Pelodiscus sinensis: one gene and its partner. The protein of the gene in region 1 purifies or fractionates together with the protein of each later gene. This does not show direct contact. Links are inferred from orthologs where the notes say so. Each region holds a gene or a part of one and is shown in the gene's direction. Other genes may lie near its edges.

The links. Proteins that work in one complex are often made in the same cells at the same time.
Region 2: the proteins of BSG (region 1) and SYMPK purify together in Homo sapiens (co-immunoprecipitation; 3 studies listed by BioGRID and IntAct, counting the BioPlex papers as one, with this or other methods). This does not show direct contact. The link is inferred for Pelodiscus sinensis from reciprocal best matches to the Homo sapiens genes BSG and SYMPK.

The regions. Positions count from the first base shown.
Region 1 is NC_134729.1:15,826,030-15,836,691, forward strand, and holds the start of BSG (basigin), read left to right. Parts: upstream 1-6,081; 5' UTR 6,082-6,166; coding exon 6,167-6,242; intron 6,243-7,359; exon of another isoform or gene 7,360-7,974; coding exon of another isoform or gene 7,975-7,993; intron 7,994-10,662. Other genes in the region: basigin-like, read left to right, coding at 7,975-7,993.
Region 2 is NW_027465849.1:6,379,149-6,389,335, reverse strand, and holds the start of SYMPK (symplekin), read left to right. Parts: upstream 1-5,734; 5' UTR 5,735-5,881; intron 5,882-6,599; exon of another isoform or gene 6,600-6,602; 5' UTR 6,603-6,721; coding exon 6,722-6,829; intron 6,830-7,873; coding exon 7,874-7,939; intron 7,940-8,190; coding exon 8,191-8,244; intron 8,245-8,719; coding exon 8,720-8,793; intron 8,794-9,270; coding exon 9,271-9,397; intron 9,398-9,910; coding exon 9,911-10,160; intron 10,161-10,187. UniProt on the Homo sapiens protein: Scaffold protein that functions as a component of a multimolecular complex involved in histone mRNA 3'-end processing. Specific component of the tight junction (TJ) plaque, but might not be an exclusively junctional component. May have a house-keeping rule.

The DNA.
Region 1 (10,662 bases):
GTGGTAAGAGAGAAAGGCCTAAAACATAACCGTGAGGACACCCCAACACTGGAAGGCAAAGGAAAAGACCCCGGCTTCGATTGTTTTTTAAGATCTCATGATTTTATCGTGGCTTGACTCTCAACAGTTGAACTCAAGGGCCAACTGCTGTAGCATGTTCCTGTCAAACCCAGGAGTTGAGTCTCAGGAAATACAACCAGGGAGCAGACCGATGCTTCCCATATCCTGCCCCCGCCGGGGTCTGCTTCAGCGGAAAGTTAACGCCTCTCCTCAGATAATGCACCTGGCTGTGTGCTTGGTGGGATAACCACGCTGACAGGGGGGCTACATCCGTCCTGATCCTGCCCTCTGGCTGCAGAAACAACGTGAACTTCCCAGGGTGGTGGGAATGAGATCAATTGACCTAAACCCAAGGGATGGCTTCAGACTTTGAAGTCAACTTGCTCCTGCCTTTTACTTTGTTATGTGGCCAGTGCATTGTTCTCTTCGCTGCCTCTACTCTCCCCACCAGAGTGCTCCCTCCCCCCTCCCCGGTTTAAATATTCTCTCCTGGGCAGACAGATAATGCCAAGACCAGAGCAGCTCTGAGGACCAAGGAAAGGGTCGCTGAGGAAGTGGAGGAATGAGAATGATCTGAAAGACAAGCATCCTTCACTGCACTGAAAGCCCCTAGCTCTTCAATGAGCCCATCATCACACTGGTATAATTAGCTTATCTGAGGGCATGGCTACCTAAGGCAGCGTGTAGCAGGTTTAAAACTAATAAAAGAGAGTTCTTCTTTACACAGCGCATAGTCAACCTGTGGAACTCCTTGCTGGGGGAGGCTGTGAAGGCTGGAACTATAATAGAGTTTAAAGAGAAGCTAGATAAAAAGCTTTATGGAGGTTAGGTCCATAAAAGGCTATTAGCCAGGGGATAAAATGGTGTCCCTGGCCTCTGTTTGTCAGAGGCTGGAGAGGGATGGCAGGAGACAAATCGCTTGATCATTGTCTTCGGTCCACCCTCTCTGGGGCACCTGGTGCTGGCCACTGTTGGCAGACAGGCTACTGGGCTAGATGGACCTTTGGTCTGACCCAGTACGGCCGTTCTTATGTTCTCATGTGTAGCAACAAGGCCGTCTCGACACTGTCATGTTAAAATGAAGGTCACCATGTGGGAACACCTGGGCTGAGAAAGGGTAACCAGGTCACCAGTAAGATCACCCTACGCAGGGGATTCTTACGGGTTCCGGTTAACCGATACCTGGTGGGGGCTAGGAGCTGGGCCTGCTGCCGACAAGGGCTGCTCTGGTGGCGGCTGGGAGCCTGGAGCAGCCCTCCCCAGATCCTGCTTAGCTGGTTAACCAATTAAACATGAGGAGAGCGCTGCTCCCCGAGGCCCAGCAGGTTAGCTAAGAGCATTCCAGCTACTGGGCTGGATGGACCTTTGGGCTGGCCCCGTACGGCCGTTAACCCAACACTTGCCCGGTTAACTGATTAACTGGGACGTTACGTCCCTGGGGAATGCTGGTGCTGATCAAATACTTCCACCCCCTACAAGGGGGGGCTCGCTTTACCGGCATTCCCACGCGCATTCACCGCCCAGGGCTGCCTGTCAAGCAGCGGCGACTGGATCAAGTGCCAGTGTCGCGCTGCCCTTGCTTCTCGCGTCCCTCGCCTGCCAAGGAACTCGAATGTGCATGTTGCTTTTTATAGCCCACACTCCCTGGGGCAGAGTTCTCAAGCTGGGCTGGCTCTGCTCCCCGATGCCCAGCTGGTTAGCCGTGTGCGGTCAGGCGGTGCCCAAGTGCCTGAGGAAGAGTCGGGGCTGGATTCTCTAAGGACACGATCTAGTGTGGCTTCCAGGCGATCTTCTGATGCCAGTGGGGTGCCCCAGGGGAAAAGACCGGGCACGGAGCATGGCTGAGAAACGCGTTCAGGGCCGCGCCCATCTCTTAAAGCCTCTTCTTGAGGGGACGAGGCACACGCTGACCTAGGAGCCAGCCATAAAAACGAAAGTTTAACACGTGTCTGTAGGAGACACCGCTGGAGATGACATGCAAAGGAGTCGGACTTGTTGTTGACCTGGGATACCAGATCCCCAGGCATGAGACTTTTGGGGAGAGGCAGGATAGTGGGGGGGGGGGGGAATTAGCCGTTAATGGGAGGTTTTTCCTGCTGCAAACCAGACCTTGTATTCTAACAGCTTTGCCTTTAACATGGCATGACTGGTCCTGATCCCGCATGTGCCCCTCCCAACGACCACAAACCCTGCAGGTTCCAGACTTTGCTATACAAGAATCTCCTCTCTCCCTGCCAGGGGCGACCAGTGCCTGCAGGGGGGAAGGGGTGGAAGGAGGACCGCCCAAGGGGCCGGGACATGTGGGGGCACCCCATTTAGCCATTAAAATGAGGGTGGGGATATACGGGTGAAGTGCACCTCCGGCATGCTCCCTTGCTCCCTTCCCCCACCAAAACGCAGCCACTTCTGGGATCAAAGACAAGAGGGACTGCCCAGAGCTACTTACAGAGCAGGCCAGCTAGCAGAGGATAAAAAGCAAAGCGCCAGAGCAGCTGTTAGGAGCCAAGGTGCTGGCTCCAGAACTCTTGTTCCGCCTTTTTGGCTGATCTTGATCCAATTAATATTCAGCATCAGTATGGGGAGGACAGTGTTGCTGGCAGTGATGAATGGAAAAAAACAGGAGGAGGCAGAAACATTGTAATGGGCACGAGCTGGAATTTGGCTGGAATGCGAATCTGTAAGGAGGCCTAGGAAGCGTGTGGTGTCTGCAAACACAGACCCGGCCAAAGTCCAGTGACATGGAGCACCAGCCTCTATACCTAGCTTTACTTGGGTTTTGACCTGGGGAGGGGGCGGGGGTTGTTTTTAAGGCTATTACAGCAACCTCTCCCCACCCAGCCGTGGCTGGTGCAGACACTGTCACAGTGGAGGTTGTATCTGTCTGATCTCCTTCTCAACCGCCCACAGAATCCATGTGGCTTCCCATAGGATTTTTACAGTAACAGCTAAGCACTGCTGAGGCAACCCCCACTAGGAACCCATCCTGGCCTGCCACAAGCAACATCCTAGCTATGGATCACGTGGTCTTCCACCTCGAGCAACCAGCAATTAAAGTGGCAGTGCGTTCCAGACTTCTGTAGGCAGTAAAACAGAACAAACCAAGGCCATAGAGGGATCCCTCAGTAAATACATGGTGCACGGAGGGTGTGGGGAGGGAAAGAATAGGTCTTCTCCCAGGAGCTGGTGGCTGATCAGCAAGAGGAACAATTGCTGCTGCTGCTCTGGAGCATCTGAAATGCTTTGTCATTCAACTTAAAGACAGTTGGAATTTTTGGCACTGAGCCTACTGGAGAAGATGAGGTTAGTCTCACTCTGACAGACTCCATCCCTGGGCCACTCGCTGTGTTATCCATCTGCTTAGCTGCCCTGACTTGCTCAGCCCCATGCACGCTGGCAGCAGGAGCGGCTCGAGGAGAGCTGCCGGCATCTGGCGCCCTGGGCGGAATGCGCGATTGGCGCCCCCGCTTCCATAGCCCTCAATGGCGTGATGTCATCATTGGGCGCCGCGTAAAATGCAACTGCTGAGGTTGCTTACATCCACAGGCCGCCCCTGGCTGGCAGCAATTGACAGAATAAACGCTGGGGTGGAGGCTGATAGTCTGGCTTTAAAAATGGCAGGTGTAGTGGGGCTGGAAATCTTGAAACCACACACAAATCCTTCTCACACAAAACACAGGACTGTGTAGCACTTTACAGACTAACAAGATGGTTTAATAGGTGATGAGCTTTCGTGGGCCAGACCCACTTCCTCAGATCAAATAGTGGAAGAAAATAGTCACAGCCATATATACCAAAGGAGACAATTAAAAAAATGAACACCTATGAAAAGGACAAATCACATTTCAGAACAGAAGGAGGATGGAGGGGGGAGGGAAGGGAGGGAGGTAAATGTCTGTGAGCTAATGGTATTAGAGGTGATAATTGGGGAAGCTATCTTTGTAATGGGTAAGATAATTAGCATCTTTATTCCTTCTATGTGTCTTTTAATTCAAAGCTGGTTTTCTGGGTTGGAACAAAGGGCGAGTACCCGGCTTCAACAGGCCTTGTTACACAGAAAGCTGATGGTGCTTTTGCTTTCCTCAAGTTTACTGCCTTTCTGAGGTGTGTGATTACTAAAATAAACACTCTCTAACATCCCAGATGGAAAAGCAATGCAGGAGTGCCTTTGTCAGGGCGTTCCTGGAGAAAGATGGCAATCTTGCTCCTTCATGTATTGCTGGTGTCACTTTCAGACCCTGGGGGTAGAGTGTTTCCAAACCAAAGCAGAGCCTCTCTTGAAGGGATTCTTCATTCCTATTATTAAAACAGACAAGGGAAGGTACAAAAATGAAATGATCAGAGTTGAGAACAGCTCCTGGATTTTAAGCCCCCTTGCTGTATATGCCTGATGAATGGATCACTGCCCAAGAATCCATCCAATAAGCAAGTCTGGAGCTAAGGGCTGTACTGTGTACTTTATTGCCAGGGCCAGCCCACAACATTTTGGCACCTGAGGCAGGGAGCTCAAATGACGCCCCCAGGCCCCCTTGCTTGGGCCAAAACTTTGAAAGGTCTCAATTCTGCCTCCTTCCTGTTCTACTCCTCTCATGGAACTGCTCTGCTACCTACCCCAATAAAGGAGAACTAACAACTTAAAATGCCTTGTTCAAAAAGTGTGAACTAGTGGTGTCCCTCCCCACCCCCAGTCTGACACCTGAGGCTGCTGCTTCGGGTGTTGCCTCATGGTAAGGCCAGCACTGTTTATTGCAGCAGTGAAGTGTAGGAAGTATTGTGTATAGTGAGCTGGAGGAGGGACAGCAGGACTCCTGCAGTTTTCTTAATCTGCACCCAGCTCTGCTGATGATTTGCTGTGCGACCTCAGGCAATGTACTGACTACTCTGTGCCTCAGTTCCCCTTTCTATAACACAGGGACATTGTGCCTCAAAAGCATCACAGAAGATTTGGGATGCCTTCTTCATTCAATGTCGGCAAAGTGGCATGAGACTGCCAGTGCGAAGGGAACCAGTGATCTGCTACACTGAGTGCCTGAGGAGGTCAAGCTATAGGCTCCCCATTGCCAAGGCACCAAATGTATTTCCACGCCACCCCTGCCCTCAGCTTCACGCCCCCTTGCTAGCTGCTGCCTGAAAGGGGAAGCACAGAGCTGCCCCTTTGGCAGGGAACTTCTCCCAGGGGTTCGGAGGAATGGCTCCACTAGTCCCAGAGGGGCTGGGTGTCCTACAGCAGAAACTGACCAGGAAGGCCAGTCTCTGCTCTCCCCCCACATGTTCTGTCTGGCTCATCCGCAGCAGGGGATGGAGGCCGTGCTGCGTGGAGTCCTGAGTCAGCCTCGTTAGGGGCCTTGCTGTGACTTGAGCTGCCTCTAAGTGATTTGGGGCAGGGGCAGACAGGCCCAGACATGGGTGTCTGCTCTTTCCCTGCCCCCCCCAAAATCCTTGTTCCCTCTGCCCTTCCCCCCACCTGCCTCAACCCCCTCCCTCCTATACCCTTCCCCCCCCACCCTTCCCCCCCTTGGTACTCCTCCCTTCCTGCCCCCCCTTGGTAGCCCTCCCCCCACTGCCCTTCCCCCCACCTGCCTCAACCCCCTCCCTCCTATACCCTTCCCCCCCACCCTTCCCCCCCTTGGTACTCCTCCCTTCCTGCCCCCCCTTGGTAGCCCTCCCCCCACTGCCCTTCCCCCCACCAGCCTCAACCCTCTCCCTCTCCCCTTCCCCCCTTGGTACCCCTCCTATACCCTCCCCCCACGCCCTGCCTCCTCATTTGCATAGTCCCCCTCTCTCGTGCGCACACGCGCACGTGACTTTCCTCGCTCAGCTCGGCCCCGACCTGCGCCCCGAGGACACGACCCTGCGGGTCACATGTCCCCTCCCGGATTCCGTCCTTCCCCGCCGTCGAAGGTCAGTGGGCGGGGCGCTGCCTCGATCTGGCCCGGCGAGCTCCGGTCGCCAGGAGGGGCGGGGCGCTTTGTGGGCCCCGCCCAGTCCGCGGCGCTCTGATTGGCCGCCGTGGGGCGCGCAAGGGCGGGGCGGGGCCGGGCGCGAGGTGACTTGGCTCGGCGGCGGCGCGCGCCGGCTCTTGGCGGGTTAGCGGCAGCGAGCGGCGACCATGGGGGCGCGCGGGGCCGGGGCGCTGGTGCTGCTGGGCGCGCTGCTGGGCGCCGTGACGGGCGCCTCCGCCGCAGGTAGGGCCGGGACCCGGGGCGCTGCAGCGGGCTGGGCCCTCTCGGGGCGGGGGGGGGGGCCGGGCCTGTGGGGGGGGCCCTCTCGGGGCGGGGGGGGGGGCCGGGCCTGTGGGGGGGGCCCTCTCGGGGCGGGGGGGGGGGCCGGGCCTGTGGGGGGGGCCCTCTCGGGGCGGGGGGGGGGGCCGGGCCTGTGGGGGGGCCCTCTCGGGGCGGGGGGGGGGGCCGGGCCTGTGGGGGGGCCCTCTCGGGGCGGGGGGGGGGCCGGGCCTGTGGGGGGGGCCCTCTCGGGGCGGGGGGGGGGCCGGGCCTGTGGGGGGGGCCCTCTCGGGGCGGGGGGGGGGGCCGGGCCTGTGGGGGGGGCCCTCTCGGGGCGGGGGGGGGCCGGGCCTGTGGGGGGGCCCTCTCGGGACGGGGGGGGGGCCGGGCCTGTGGGGGGGGCCCTCTCGGGACGGGGGGGGGCCGGGCCTGTGGGGGGGGGCCCTCTCGGGACGGGGGGGGCCTCTCGGGACGGGGGGGGGCCGGGCCTGTGGGGGGGGGCCCTCTCGGGACGGGGGGGGCCTCTCGGGACGGGGGGGGGGCCGGGCCTGTGGGGGGGGGGGCCGGGCCTGTGGGGGCCCTCTCTCGGGACGGGGGGGGGGCCGGGCCTGTGGGGGGGGGGCCGGGCCTGTGGGGGCCCTCTCTCGGGACGGAGGGGGGGCCGGGCCTGTGGGGGGGGGGCCGGGCCTGTGGGGGCCCTCTCTCGGGACGGAGGGGGGGCCGGGCCTGTGGGGGGGGGGCCGGGCCTGTGGGGGCCCTCTCTCGGGACGGAGGGGGGGCCGGGCCTGTGGGGGGGGGGCGGGCCTGTGGGGGCTCTCTCTCGGGACGGAGGGGGGGCCGGGCCTGTGGGGGCCCTCTCTCGGGACGGAGGGGGGGCCGGGCCTGTGGGGGGGGGCCGGGCCTGTGGGGGCCCCCTCTCGGGACGGAGGTGGGGCCGGGCCTGTGGGGGGGGGGCCCCTCTCGGGACGGGGGGGGGCCGGGCCTGTGGGGGGGGGGGCCCCTCTCGGGACAGGGGGGGATCTTCCTGTGGGGCGTCCCATGGGGTGGGCTCATGGGGGACCCTGCAGCGGGAGGGGGGAGAGTCTGAGGCCCAGCAGGGTTGGGGGGGCCCAGGGCTCTGCCGGGGACCCCCTGGTGCGGGGGGCCTGGGGCTGCTCTGGGGGCCGCAGGCTTCAGCGACTCCTCTCCTTGGTAGGGTGCGGTGGGAGGTGGGGGGGTGTCTGGGGCAGGGCCGGTGGGAACAGAGGGAGCCCTCCTGGGGCATGGCCCATGCAGTCCCTGGGTGAGGGACCTGGAGGAGCGGAATGGGGGAGGTGCAGCTGGGTGTTGCATGTGTCCAGGGGGCACCGATGTATGTGGGACTGTTCCTTACCTCCACCCCAGGGGGTGGGGTGTGTCCAAGCACAGGGAGATCTGGGGTGGGTATCCTCTTTCCCTGAGAGCGTGTGCCACCATTTCCCAGGATAAGAGGGTGATGGTGGGATTAAGAATGTGGAGGAGACTGGCTCTGGGCTGAAGGAGTGTGGGGAGGCAGAGGTGCATAATTCCTCCAGGGTGAGCTCTCCATCTGCAGACTGTCCCCACAGTAAGCTGTGAAGGAAATCCTAGATGGGCTGGGTAGTTATGTTCCGCTCACTCCAGACATGCTATAAGCCATTTCTCAGCCTCCCCCTGGGGACCATGAGTCTGCTTGCAGATGGAAACTCCATTAAAAGGTTCGTCTCTAATTAGCATTTTCTGTTTTTAATGTGAAGCTGGTTTGACACTCACATTTCTGTGTGTATGTTCATGTGTGTGTGTGTGTGTGTATAAAGCAATCAATAAAGAATGAAAACTAAGGTGGCTCTTACCAATCTAGTTATCAGAGCATGAGTTCATCATCTCACAAGGTCTGTCAGTACTAACTAATTTGCAGGCTTCAAAAAATGTGCATATAGGGCTTCAGTTGGTAATCTGCTAATGGAGGAACAGTGCTGCCCTATGTATTTCTTAGGTGTTCGTAATGTACCAGTAGTACCTCGAAACTCCTGTGTGGTGGCCATTTCGAAGATGTGCAACAGCATGGTCTTTGGGCATGGACAGAAATATGACTGCAAATGAACCAGGATTTGGCATTCCCTGAAGCTTTGTGACATTTCAGTTTCCCCACCTTCTGTGCTGTTCTCAAAGAAGCCTGCTGGATTTATTTACACAGGGCTATGGGTGTGCCTTAGGCCATAGGGAATCTGAGAAAACAAATAAGACCCAGGACTCTAATTCAATCCTAATACTTGCTCAGAGCAGTGGGATGTCCTCTGCAGTTATTGGGTCTTGCCCTATTTCGAGTTGTGTAGCGGTGGGTGGGATCTTTGTGGTTTTTCTGAGTCATATTTGGTACCTCATGAAAACTCAGAGGAGGCAAGTACACGAGGGAGAGAAATGCATGGATAGTAATAAAATGGCTCTTGCCTAGGAGCAAACTGCATCTTGTTTATACAGCAGGATTAAAGACAGAAAATGGCATTTGTTTGTCCCCCACAAGTCTTTCCTATCCAGAGGACTGTGACACACTATTCAACAAATTAAATTGGAACTTGTATTCCTCCCTTCCCTTGCTGTATGCATCTGTAGTGAGCTTGCATTCTTCTAGAAAAGCCTGACACTAACCCTCCATTTTAATACTGTGCACTGCTTCTCAAAATTAAGCTAGTCTGTCGTCCAAGTGCAGTATGTCACGGCTAATGTTTGTGCTGTATGTAAAAGCCTCACTTCCCATGTGAGGCTTCAGAAATCGGACTTGAGACACAATCCCCCCCCTTCCAAACAAAGCAGTAGGTTTTGGCTAGTGTATAGCCTCTCTCCTGCAGATGAATTTGTGCTTTGAAACACATGAAAAACAATGGCCTGGCAAGCCACAGGGCTATCTAAGCAACTTGTGGGAACATTCCCAGTTGGCCCCCTGTAGTCACACGTCTGTCCTTTGGTCAGTTTACATCTGGCTTTTGATGCCAATGTTGTTCTATGATGTAGTTTGTCAGGCATTGGTCTTACTGTAAATTTGTTAGCCTACTATTAAGCTTTGTCTGGGCAGCTGTTTTTGTTTTGTTTTTGCTTAAACAGAGGGGTCTCTGTACATGCCACTTTCCTTCCTTCCTTTGTCAAAGCTGCTTGCTGAAGATAACATCTTTACATCAGGAAGGCATTGAGGGGGACTCCTTAATAAACCATTCAGTTCTGCAGTGCCCCCTTAGCTATGGTGGGTTTCTGCAATGATGTGGATTTTCCTGAGCTTTGTGTTTTCAACTCCTTTCCCAAGGAATGAAATTGCAGTGTCTCATGTGTTAGGGTGCTGGCGCTAGGCAAAGCCCTGGAAAAAATCATGTTGGGTAGTTCTGGCCATCGTTTGGGCAGCTCAGTAGCTTGTTGCTCTGAGAACTGTGTGGTATGTCAGTATAGTTATATCCTGGCTTCTTTTATTAGGACTTCAAAGGTTACAGAGTGACTCTGGTTTGAAACAAAACCTTTAAATGGATCTCAGCAGCCTTCCTCTTATGGCTTGATTCCGTTAATGGGACTGAGATGAAAAATCCTTAATGTTAAAGCAGCTAATATAGAAATGCCTTACATGCTGGTTTATACTGATGAGTGCGTAGGTAAGAGAAGTGACTTGAAATCCTTGGGTCTAACATTGATTCTCTCAAAAATGGTCAAAAATGATCTTGATTTCATTGAGGACATGGATTTAGCTTCTCTTACAAATTCCAGTAGTACATCTTGGCAAATGGTTACAAGCTATTTTCTTCTTCTCCCTATTCAGTTCCTTTTTTGATTCTGTATGAATAGCTCTTTCCCCCTTACCTTATTGAATACAACTAAGCTTTAAACATTTTGCAAGTGTGTTAACTTTTTTAAAAAAGTGTTGGATACTGTACTGATGACAATATCTGGCTTTTCCAACCAGCCTTTTTCCCCCATCTTTTCCCTCCTTTTTTGCTGTGATAAACCCACATATAGACAAATAAAGGGTGTATCAAATACACCAAGCAAGGCTTTGTCTACACCAGAGGTCTCTAACCTTTTTAAGCACAAGATCACTTTTTGAATTTGTCAGTCCAGGATCTACCTCAAACCCAAATACCCCTGTTCCCGCCACTTCTCCGAGGTCCCACCTTCCTCACACTGTCCCCCATCTTCAGAGTGACATCAGTGCCCCCCTACCTCTCTCCCACCCTGCACAGCATGCAGGAGGCTCCCAGGGGGCAGCTCTGAGATTCTGGGCAGGAGCAGCAGGGAGAGGCAGTTGAAGTGCTAGCACTTGATAGCCTTCAGAGCCAAACCTGTCAGAATCTCTTGTCAGAGGCTCCAAGGTCTGGTTGGTGACCACTGGTCTACACCAGTGGTCCCC
Region 2 (10,187 bases), on another chromosome or scaffold:
GCCCCTATTCCGGCTCCTCCAGAACCTCTTATTGAGGTTCTGGCTGCACTTTTCCCCTCACCTTTTTGTCTATGCACACCCAATCCGTGGCCCCACAAAGTCGCGAGACCTCCTCGTCAACCTGCTCCTGGCCTGGCAAAGACCGCTATCTATAACACCAGGAGCAGGATGCTGGACGAGGGGTTCTCTGCGACTGTGGGGCCTATTTCCGTTCCTCCCTGGTTTCACGTATCCGGGCAGAGCTCCTCTGGGCGGCGTCCACTGGCTCCTTCGACAGCTTTGAGGAGCAGTGGGCGCTGTCCGGGGTTCTCTGCTCGCTGTCCCCATCCGGTTCCCTAGTTATAAACCTTTAGCCCGCACGCCTTGCCCTTTTTGTCATTATTTGTCCCCAGGAATTAGTTGAGCACGGGTCCAGTCGTCCCTCCCGCAAGGCTGGGGGAGGGGCTTTTAGAAAGCCCGCCCACTCTCCCGTGTCCTCAAATAGACCCAGTGGGGGGCTGTGACAGCCCCCAGAGAAGGGGGCTCCCGGCACCTCGGTGCTAATGAAAGAGTCGAGTCCTGCACTGAATTAGGGACAGGTTTCAGGGACCCTCACCCGGTGCTGAGATGCAGCTGCCTCTGGGGGGGTGCAGGGGCTGCTTACACAGGGACCCCTCACTCAGCGCTGAGATGCAGCTGCCTCTGGGGGGGTGCAGGGGCTGCTTACACAGGGACCCCTCACTCAGCGCTGAGATGCAGCTGCCTCTGGGGGGGGTGCAGGGGCTGCTTACACAGGGACCCCTCACTCAGCGCTGAGATGCAGCTGCCTCTGGGGGGGTGCAGGGGCTGCTTACACAGGGACCCCTCACCCGGCGCTGAGATGCAGCTGCCTCTGGGGGGGGGGCGCAGGGGCTGCTTACACAGGGACCCCTCACCCGGCGCTGAGATGCAGCTGCCTCTGGGGGGGGCGCAGGGGCTGCTTACACAGGGACCCCTCACCCGGCGCTGAGATGCAGCTGCCTCTGGGGGGGTGCAGGGGCTGCTTACACAGGGACCCCTCACCCGGCGCTGAGATGCAGCTGCCTCTGGGGGGGTGCAGGGGCTGCTTACACAGGGACCCCTCACCCGGCGCTGAGATGCAGCTGCCTCTGGGGGGGTGCAGGGGCTGCTTACACAGGGACCCCTCACCCGGCGCTGAGATGCAGCTGCCTCTGGGGGGGTGCAGGGGCTGCTTACACAGGGACCCCTCACCCGGCACTGAGATGCAGCCTCCTTTGGAATGAAGTGAAGCAGTTATTTAAAAGATGCAGCAACATCACACTGCTGGTTGGGACCGAAAGCGGAAGAGGGGCCATATCCCAGCTCACAATCCCCTCTGCTTTTGTATCTCCCCACACACAGCTCTGCCCGTGCCCCTCACTCCTGACCCGCAGTCCCCTGCCAGCCCAGCCCTGGGTTCCCCCAGACCTGGTGGTGCCCCTCACTCCCAACCTGCAGCCCCTGCTATCCTGACCCTGGGTTCCTTGGCAAACATGAGGGGCAGGGTGTGGGGCTGGTAATGTCGCTCGCTTTTCCCCACTGCCACTGCCCCAGTCTGAACCCAGCGCGGGCCCCCTGCCCTGGCCAATGTGTCTCCCCTTCCCCCTCTCCCATGCCCTCTCCTGCCTGTTTACCTGCCTTTGGCTTCATCTCTCCCCAAAGGCTCCTGTTACCTGCTGGTTCCCCGGTGCCCCGGCCGTTGTCAGGAGAACGCTTGATCCGGCCGCTGGTTTTGGGATTAAGGCACCAGAGCAAGCACAAAAGAGCCAGCGAGCCGAGGGGCCACAATTAACTAATTACCTGCTCGGCCTTTAATCCCCGGCGGGGAGCGCGTAACCCAATCGCACCCCCTTATACAACGAGGCTCCTGAGGGACTGGCTGAGCCAGGCACGACCACCCACCCCCAGCACCTCAGCCCCTCCGCAGGGAGACGAGACCGTGGAGCGCAGCAGGCTCCTTAATCCAGCAGATAAAGGCAGAGCAAGATTGGAGGCTGGGAGCTGAAACGAGAGACAGTCAGGCTAGAAATCAAGTGCCAATTTTTCAAAAGGAGGGGAATTAACCATTGGACTGAACCCAGAATTCCTGGCTTCCAGCCCCCCTGCTCTAACCACTGGGCCTCACTCCCCTCCCAGAGCTGGGAATAGAACTCAGGAGTCCCGGTACCTAGTCCTGCTGCTCTAACCACTGGGACTCACTCCCCTCCCAGAGCTGGGAATAGAACTCAGGAGTCCTGGTACCTAGCCCTGCTGCTCTAACCACTAGACTCCCCTCCCAGTAAAACTCAGGAGTCCTGAACAGTGGGCTGGCAGCAAACAGCCTCTCAATTTTGGGGATGGATTGAATTCAGACGGGCTAAGCGAACTGCAAAGAAATGGGAAGGGGAGGATGGGGGGTGGAAGGAAGTGAAGTGGAAGGGGGCTGAGTGATGGCAAAGTGAGTGAGCATTGCCAGCAGATCTAGGGGAGCGATTATTCCCTTTTATTTGGCACTGGGGAGCCCACATCTGGAGTATTGCGGCCAATTCTGGGGGGCCCCGTACAGAAAGGACGTGGACGCATTGGAGAGAGTCCAGTGAAGGGTGACAAAAATGATTCGGGGGCTGGAGCACTTGACCTATGAGGAGAGGCGGAGGGACTGGGGCTTGTTTAGTCTGCAGAAGAGAAGAGTGAGGGGGGATTTGAGAGCAGCCTTCAACTTCCTGCAGGGAGGTACCAAAGAGGATGGAGAGAGGCTGTTCTCTGTGGTGGCAGATGGCAGAACAGGGAGCCATGGTCTCTAGTTGCAGGGAGGGCATGAGGGGTCGAGGTTGGATATTAGGGGAAACTATTTCTGTAGGAGGGTGGGGAAGAACTGGGGTGGGTTCCCTAGGGAGGGGGTGGAGTCTCCATCCCTAGAGGTGTTTAAGTCTCGGCTTGACAAAGCCCTGGCTGGGATAATTGGGTCGGCGTTGGTCCAGCTTTGGGCAGGTGTCTGGACTCGATGACTCCTGACGTCTCTGCCCACCCTAGGAGTCTGTGATTCTATGAATGGTGACATAAGGCGTAACACGGTAAAACAAAATAAAATCTCCCTTACGGCGCCATTTTTGTCACCTCTCAGCAGCCCATGCCCCAGTGACTCACCCTCACTAAAGACACAGCCTACTGAAAGATCACCACCTCGCACGAGAGATACTCTCTCTGCTGGAGACGCAACATCCTTATGACGAACTATGCAAGAAGATCGGATGGGGCGACGGAAGAACAGCTGACCTCAAGGGAACATACTCTCGCTTACATTCCTCAATCCACCCGACCAATCGGTCCATCTCGGCAGGAGAAGTTTGGCTATACTGATGACCCATGCACTGCTGCCCAGGCCAAAGATCCAGGCTGAAGTTGTGTTACCAGTAGCGCAATCCAGGGTCTCAATCGGTTACACCAAGAACCGGCTGCGTGCCAGCCCAGACAGAACACAAGTGAATCTCTTCCCTCAGTGCAGTTATGAGGCTGGAAGCCAAATTGACATCTGGAATGAGGTACCCCTTGCCCGGTGCGGGGTTCCTGCCTGTTTCGGAGTGATGCCTGCCTGTACTCTCTTTTGAGGTCCACATGTAGGGTTGCCCGGTGACCAGTTTTGTACCGAACAGTCCAGTATTTGAGCTTTCTGTTCGGGAAAAAAATTGAGAAACTATAATTGAGTAACTAGAACTGTCCAGTATTTTCTCAATCAGACGTGATGTAGATTGTGATGTAATGTCAAGTGTGTCCAATATTTTTGTTGAAACCATCTGGCAACCCTACCCACATGGAGAAAGTGAAAGGCAAAGCTAAGTGCCTTGGACTTCAGGGCTCTATTCCCAGCTCTGGTAGCGGAGTGTAGGGTTACCAGATGGGTTTCAAAAAAATACCAGACACGTGATCTCAGAATGGGAGGGGGAGGGCGACCGGCCGGGAGGGGAGTGGGGCTGGCTGGGGGAGATCAGAGAAGGAACCGGCCGGCGGAAAGCAGGGCTTGCTGGGAGGGGGTTGGAGGGAGCAGGGCTGGCTTGGGGAGAACCAGCCAGTGGGGAGTGGGGCTGCCCCGGGCGCACGCAGATCCTGTGGTGCTGCCCATCCCGCGCATGGTCCCGGCGCGGCACACGGGTAAGTCTGGCCCCAGGGATTCCATCCCACCCTGGCTCCACCCTCCCCTCCCCCCACTGTGTAGTTGTGTACTGCCTGGCTGGTCGACGCGCTCACGCAGCGTGACTCACGCAGTGCGAGTGTGTCGACCAGCCAGGCAGTACGCAGCTACGTACTGATACTCATTATAACAATAAAACGTAGGTAATTAGAAAATACCCAACATTTCTATGTCCGGTATTTTCTCAATTTGTTTCCCAGACAGAAAGTTCAAATACCAGACTGTCCGGTTCAAAACCGGACACCTGGCAACCCTAGGGTAGTGGGGTCTAGTGGGTTAGAGCAGGGAGGCTAGAAGCTAGGAATTCTGGGTTCTGTCCATGGTGTCTGGTTTTGAACCAGACAGTCCAGTATTTGAGCTTTCTGTTTGGGAAACAAATTGAGAAAATAGAAATGTCCAGTATTTTCTCAGTAAGACAAATGTAGATTGTGATGTCATGTCAAGTATGTCCAGTATTTTTGTTGAAACCATCTGGCAACCCTATCTGTCCAACGCTTAACACACTAGGAGTGAACCAATTCAACTTGGGGAACCAGCCCAGCTCCAAACTGTCACGCCTGCACTTGGCTATTTGATGGCTGAATACACCTGTCTGGTGTGAGCAAAACTGGCCCATGCAGAGAAACAGGACCCGGCATTGCATGACAGCTTCCTCTACCTCCCGGGATGTCTATACCCCACCACAGCTTTTCCGCGCTTGCTGGAATCGCTCGCCCCGATATCGGCAGAGAGGTTGCAAGCAATATGGAACAATGACGACAGGTTGAAGATACTGGACATCAGCAGACATGGCTTTGGTTTGGATTGGCTAAAGTCTGTTCAAATGTGTTTATATGCCCAATAGGATGTACCATTAAGAAAACGGCCTGGTATAAATTTACTTGAACTTCACGCTAAGTTGGCTCGACCTCGACAGGAGTTGTGCTCCAGACACAGGCAAAGGGGGGCATATTTGGGTGGGCATATGGCTAAGTGGGTGGGCCCTGGCTAGGGTTGCCAGGTGTCCAGTATTGAACCGGACAGTTCGGTAGGCGATTCTTAAAGGGGCCACGCGCTTGCTTTCTTTCTTTCTTTCTTTCTTTCTTTCTTTCTTTCGTTTTTTGTTGTGTTTGTTTATTTAACAACTCTTGGGTCCTTTTTTTTCGGAATTTTTTTCTGAAACCAGCTGAGGCCCACCCAGGCCAAAATGGGCATCGAACTCCTTTGGGCGGGCGCAGGAGGGGGAGGGTCCGGCGGGGGGGGGTGAAAGGTGTTGGGGGAGGGGAGGCTGCTGCCCCTGGGCGGGGGATGGGCAGATTGTGGGTGGGGTGAGGGTCTAGGGCCAAGGGGATCACTGGGAGGGGGCGGTGGGGTCAGAGGTCAAAGGTCATTGAGGGGAGGCTGAAGATGGGGTCAAAGGGCACAGAGGAGAGGCTCATGTGACCAGGGCTCTCGGGTCAAAGGGCACAGAGGAGAGGCAGGGGTCGGGGTCAAAGGGCAGGTGGGAGCTGTCCCATCCCCAGGCCGGCAGCACCGGGCGACGGACCAAGTTACCCAGCGACCCCCGCGCGGCGCCTTCGCGCGGCCAGAACTACAGGTCCCAGGGGGCTTTGCGGCGCGCGCCTGCGCAGTGCGCACCGCCCGGGCCGCGGGAAGATGGCGGCCGGCAGGGGGCCGCGCGCGACGTGAGGGGTCGCCGGGCGGGATAGCGAGCGGGTGAGGGGGGGGCCGCTGGCCCGGGCGGGGGCGTTGAGAGGGGGAGGGGCTGGCGATGCGGGCGGGCTCGGGAGGGGGGGCTGGCGAGGGGGGGGCCGCTGGCGATGCGGGGGGGGCTGGCGAGGGGGGAGGGGCTGGCGATGGGGGGGGCGAGGGGGGAGGGGCTGGCGATGCGGGGGGGCTCGGGAGGGGGGGCTGGCGAGGGGGGGCTCGGGGGGGGCTGGCGAGGGGGGGGCTGGCGAGGGGGGGGGAGGGGCTGGCGATGCGGGGGGGCTCGGGAGGGGGGGCTGGCGAGGGGGGAGGGGCTGGCGATGTGGGGGGGCTCGGGAGGGGGGGCTGGCGAGGGGGGAGGGGCTGGCGATGCGGGGGGCTCGGGAGGGGGGGCTGGCGAGGGGGGAGGGGCTGGCGATGCGGGGGGGCTCGGGAGGGGGGGCTGGCGAGGGGGGAGGGGCTGGCGATGCGGGGGGCTCGGGAGGGGGGAGGGGCTGGCGATGTGGGGGGGGTTGCTTTGGAGGCTGCAGGGGGCTGGCCCGGAGTGGTGGGATCTGGGGGGTGCAGGACGGGGGCTGGGGGCTGCTTGGCAGTGGGGTGAGCTGGGGTTCCCCTGGGGAAACGGGGTGAGGCCAGGGCGGGGCCTGGGGGGTCTGGCTGGAAGGGGCAGGAGGGGGGCGGGGCTGGGGACCACTCCCAGCAGGGTGCTGACCAGTCGCCTCGTTAGCAGCTGGAGGAGCCAGGCCGAGGGCCACCCGGAGCGGCCGGCGCGGCGCTGCCCTTCCACAGACCCGTTGGCAGGGGCCGTATCCGCGCTCGGGCTCCGGCCCCGTCCCTGCACCCGGAGCCATGGCCAGCGGCACAGGGGATGGCGGCAACGCCCGCTTGAGCATCGCCTCCCAGTTCTTCACCCAGGAGGAGGGCAGCGGCACGGACAGCATGACCACCTCGGAGAGGGTGCGTGGGGAGCAGGCAGGGAAGGCTGGCTCTCATCCGGCCATGTGTCACAGGCCCAGGGGTGGGGAAACGAGATACAGGGTCTTTCCCCTCCGCCGGCTCTGCTCCAGCCCCAGGGCGGGGGAGTACCTGGGACCCAAGTTCAGGAAAAGTTAGTCAGGTCACCTGCCTTGTCAGTTACAGTCCACTTTCCATGTGTATAGTGAAGGTCTAAATGTTGGGGCTACATGATGTGCTCCCCAGTGATCTCCCTGCAGTGCACCGCGTCTTTACAGGCTCTGGCTAGCTCTTGTGAGGCCGCATAGTCTGGGGAGAAGGCACCTGTCTGGGTCTTCACAGACCTGGCTTCCCCCCTGCCCCTGCTCTTCTGGGACCCTTTGGGCAGACCCCTTCCTCTCCCTGGGGCTGGCTCCCCTTCTGCCTGTCTTGTCTGTGCAGCTTTTATCCCAAGGCCACTGACGCTGGGTGGGGATGTGATCCGTTTCCTGGTATATTGCACCGGTGCAACCCTGGCGTGGGCTATTCCCCTCCCCCACGCCAACAGGGTATGGCGGCCTCCACGCTGGAGGGAAACTAGACTGGTGTTGGCAGAGCCCTGGATCGCTGAGGGGGTAGATTGGAAGCCCTTTGGGGCAGGGACTATCTCTTGCGATGTCTGTTCAGCGCCTGGTACAATGGGGCCCTGATCTCAGGGGCTCTAGGCACTACCATAGTGCTAGTGGGATGGGTGTCTGTCACCAGGATAGCCATCGGCATTTGCCATGTACCCCTCCCAAGCTACCGCGGGCCGCCCCCCTGTTCTTGCCAACTGCCCCCTGTCCCCACAGGCCGCCCCTCTGTTCCCACCAGAACTCCTGGCCTGGTTGCCATCTCTGCTTGTGCTGTCCTGTTGTGCTGCGTGAGCAGTTATCTCTGAACTGTCGTGAGCTCTCAGCCTCGCTTGGCCCTTGGGTGTGACCAGTTTGATCGTCTTGGGAGGGATTCCTTAGAGCCAAGCTGCCCTCGAGTGCCCTGGTGCTTCCTCACGGGCTCCTCTCTCTGCAGGTGGTGGATCTGTTAAACCAGGCTGCCTTGATCAGCAATGACTCTAAAATCACCATCCTCAAAAAGGTGAGCAAGAACGCTGCCCCCCCTCCCCGCAGGAATGGGATGACACCAGGCTGGGAGTGGAGGACGCTGGGAAAACAGAACCCACCATATGCCCCTGGCTCACTCCACCCTGCACAGAGCCCCTCATGTCACAGTGGGTGGGTCCGTGGGGCAGGGCACTCCATGGGGGGGTGGGCAGATGGGCAATGGCTGATGCTGCAAAACCTCTCCACTGGTTCAAGACTCACCTGCTGTCCCTGCTTTCCCCATAGGTCCAGGAGCTAATTATAAACAAGGACCCCACGCTGCTGGATAACTTCCTGGATGTGAGTAGCCGTGGGCGTGCCAGGGGCGCCTTTCCTGACTCTCCTTGTGCCCATGCCAAGGGCTGATGCCGTATCACTGGCACTGCCACCCCTTCGCTCAGCAGCCCCCTCCCCATGGCAGCTGAACGAGGCGGAGAATTCCTCTGACTTGCCGAGCAAAGGACACGACAGAACATCAGCTCCCTGCTCAGTGGGCCCACAGCTTGGGGGCTGAGGTGTGGGGGGCTGCCCAAAGCTGGAGCCCCAGATGCCCGTCAAGCCTGGGCAGTGTCCGACGTAGACCCGAGGAGTGTGAATATTCTCACCCGGGCCTAACCTAAAACTTTCCGCAGCCTCCGCCCTGCCTGCGTTTGGGGGCGGCCGAGCTGTGCCTCGTGTTCCCAGCCCCGCTCTGCCCTGCCCCCTCCTCTTGGCCAGCTCTGCTGCCTGCTGGGCAGCTGGGGCCAGCCCTGACCGCCTGCCTCTCCGGCTGCAGGAGATCATCGCCTTCCAGGCGGACAAATCCATCGAGGTGCGCAAGTTTGTCATCGGCTTCATCGAGGAGGCCTGGTAAGGACGGCTTGGCTGCTGCACCCTGGAGCCCCTGGCTGTAACCTCCCTTCCCACCGAGTAGATGGGAGCCTCGTCCAGCCAGCTGCCTCACTCCCCACAGGCTGCAGCAGCTGGGAGCGCTCCCACCCCACTCCCTGCGCTCGCTTATCTCCAGCTAAGGTCCGTGCTGTGAGCAGGCCGGGAGCGGGGCCGGTAGGTTACAGCTGGGCTGTGAAGAGCCAGGACTCCTGGTTCTGTTCCCAGCAGGGGGAGGGGAGTCCAGTGGTTAGGAGCCAGGACTCCTGGGTTCTGTGCCTTGATCTGCCTTTGACTCCCAGTGTGACCATGGCAAGTCGTTCCCCCCCACCCTGCCTCAGTTTCCCTGCCAGTACAAGAGGTAAGGGGTCCATGGAAGCCAGCTGCGCTGTTCCTGGGCTGCTCGCCTCGCCTCGCCTCGCGCTCTCCTCCCTGAGTTTGTCCTCTCCCCCGCCCCAGCAAACGGGACATTGAGCTCCTGCTGAAGCTCATCGCCAACTTGAACATGCTGCTGAAGGACGAGAACGTCAACGTGGTGAAAAAGGCCATCCTCGCCATGACCCAGCTCTACAAGGTGGCTCTGCAGGTGAGCACTCGTCCGCCAGCGCCAGCCGGTGCGGCCCCAGCCTCTCTCAGCAGGGGGCGCTGCAGGAGGAGCTCCCAGCTATTCCAGCCTCTCCCAGCAGGGGGCGCTGCAGGAGGAGCTCCCAGCTATTCCAGCCTCTCCCAGCAGGGGGTGCTGTTGTGGGGGAGGGAGAGAACTCCCAGGTATTCTAGCCTTAGCCAGCATCCCACAGCGCCCCCTGCTGGGAATCTCAGGAGCTATGGGGAGCTCCCCACTGGCCTCTTGCAGCAGGGAGAACTTGCTGTGGGGGAAAATGCTGGTTACTCCAGCCCTGGCCTCTCCCAGCAGGAGGCGCTGCAGGATTGGCTCTGGCAAGAGCTGCTCTCTCTGGAGAGGCTTCAGGGGGGAGCAGGGTGGGGGCACTAGCCGTGGGGGGAGCTCCTGGCTACTCCAGCCGTGGCTGCTCCCACAGCGGAGTGGTCCACACAGGGCAGCCCGCCTTGGTTCTCACCTTTCCCTTCTGGCTCCCGGCAGTGGATGGTGAAGTCCAGAGTCATCAACGACCTGCAGGAGTCCTGCTGGGAGATGGTGTCGGCCATGGCCAGCGACATCATCCTGCTGCTGGACTCGGACAACGACGGCATCCGCACCCACGCCATCAAATTCGTGGAGGGGCTGATCATCACGCTCTCGCCCCGCATGCCCGACTCGGACGTGCCCAAGCACCACAAGAACGACATCAGCCTGGAACGCATCCCCAAGGACCACCCCTACATCAAGCACGGTGAGTGGGGGGGCCCGCGGGGGCTGT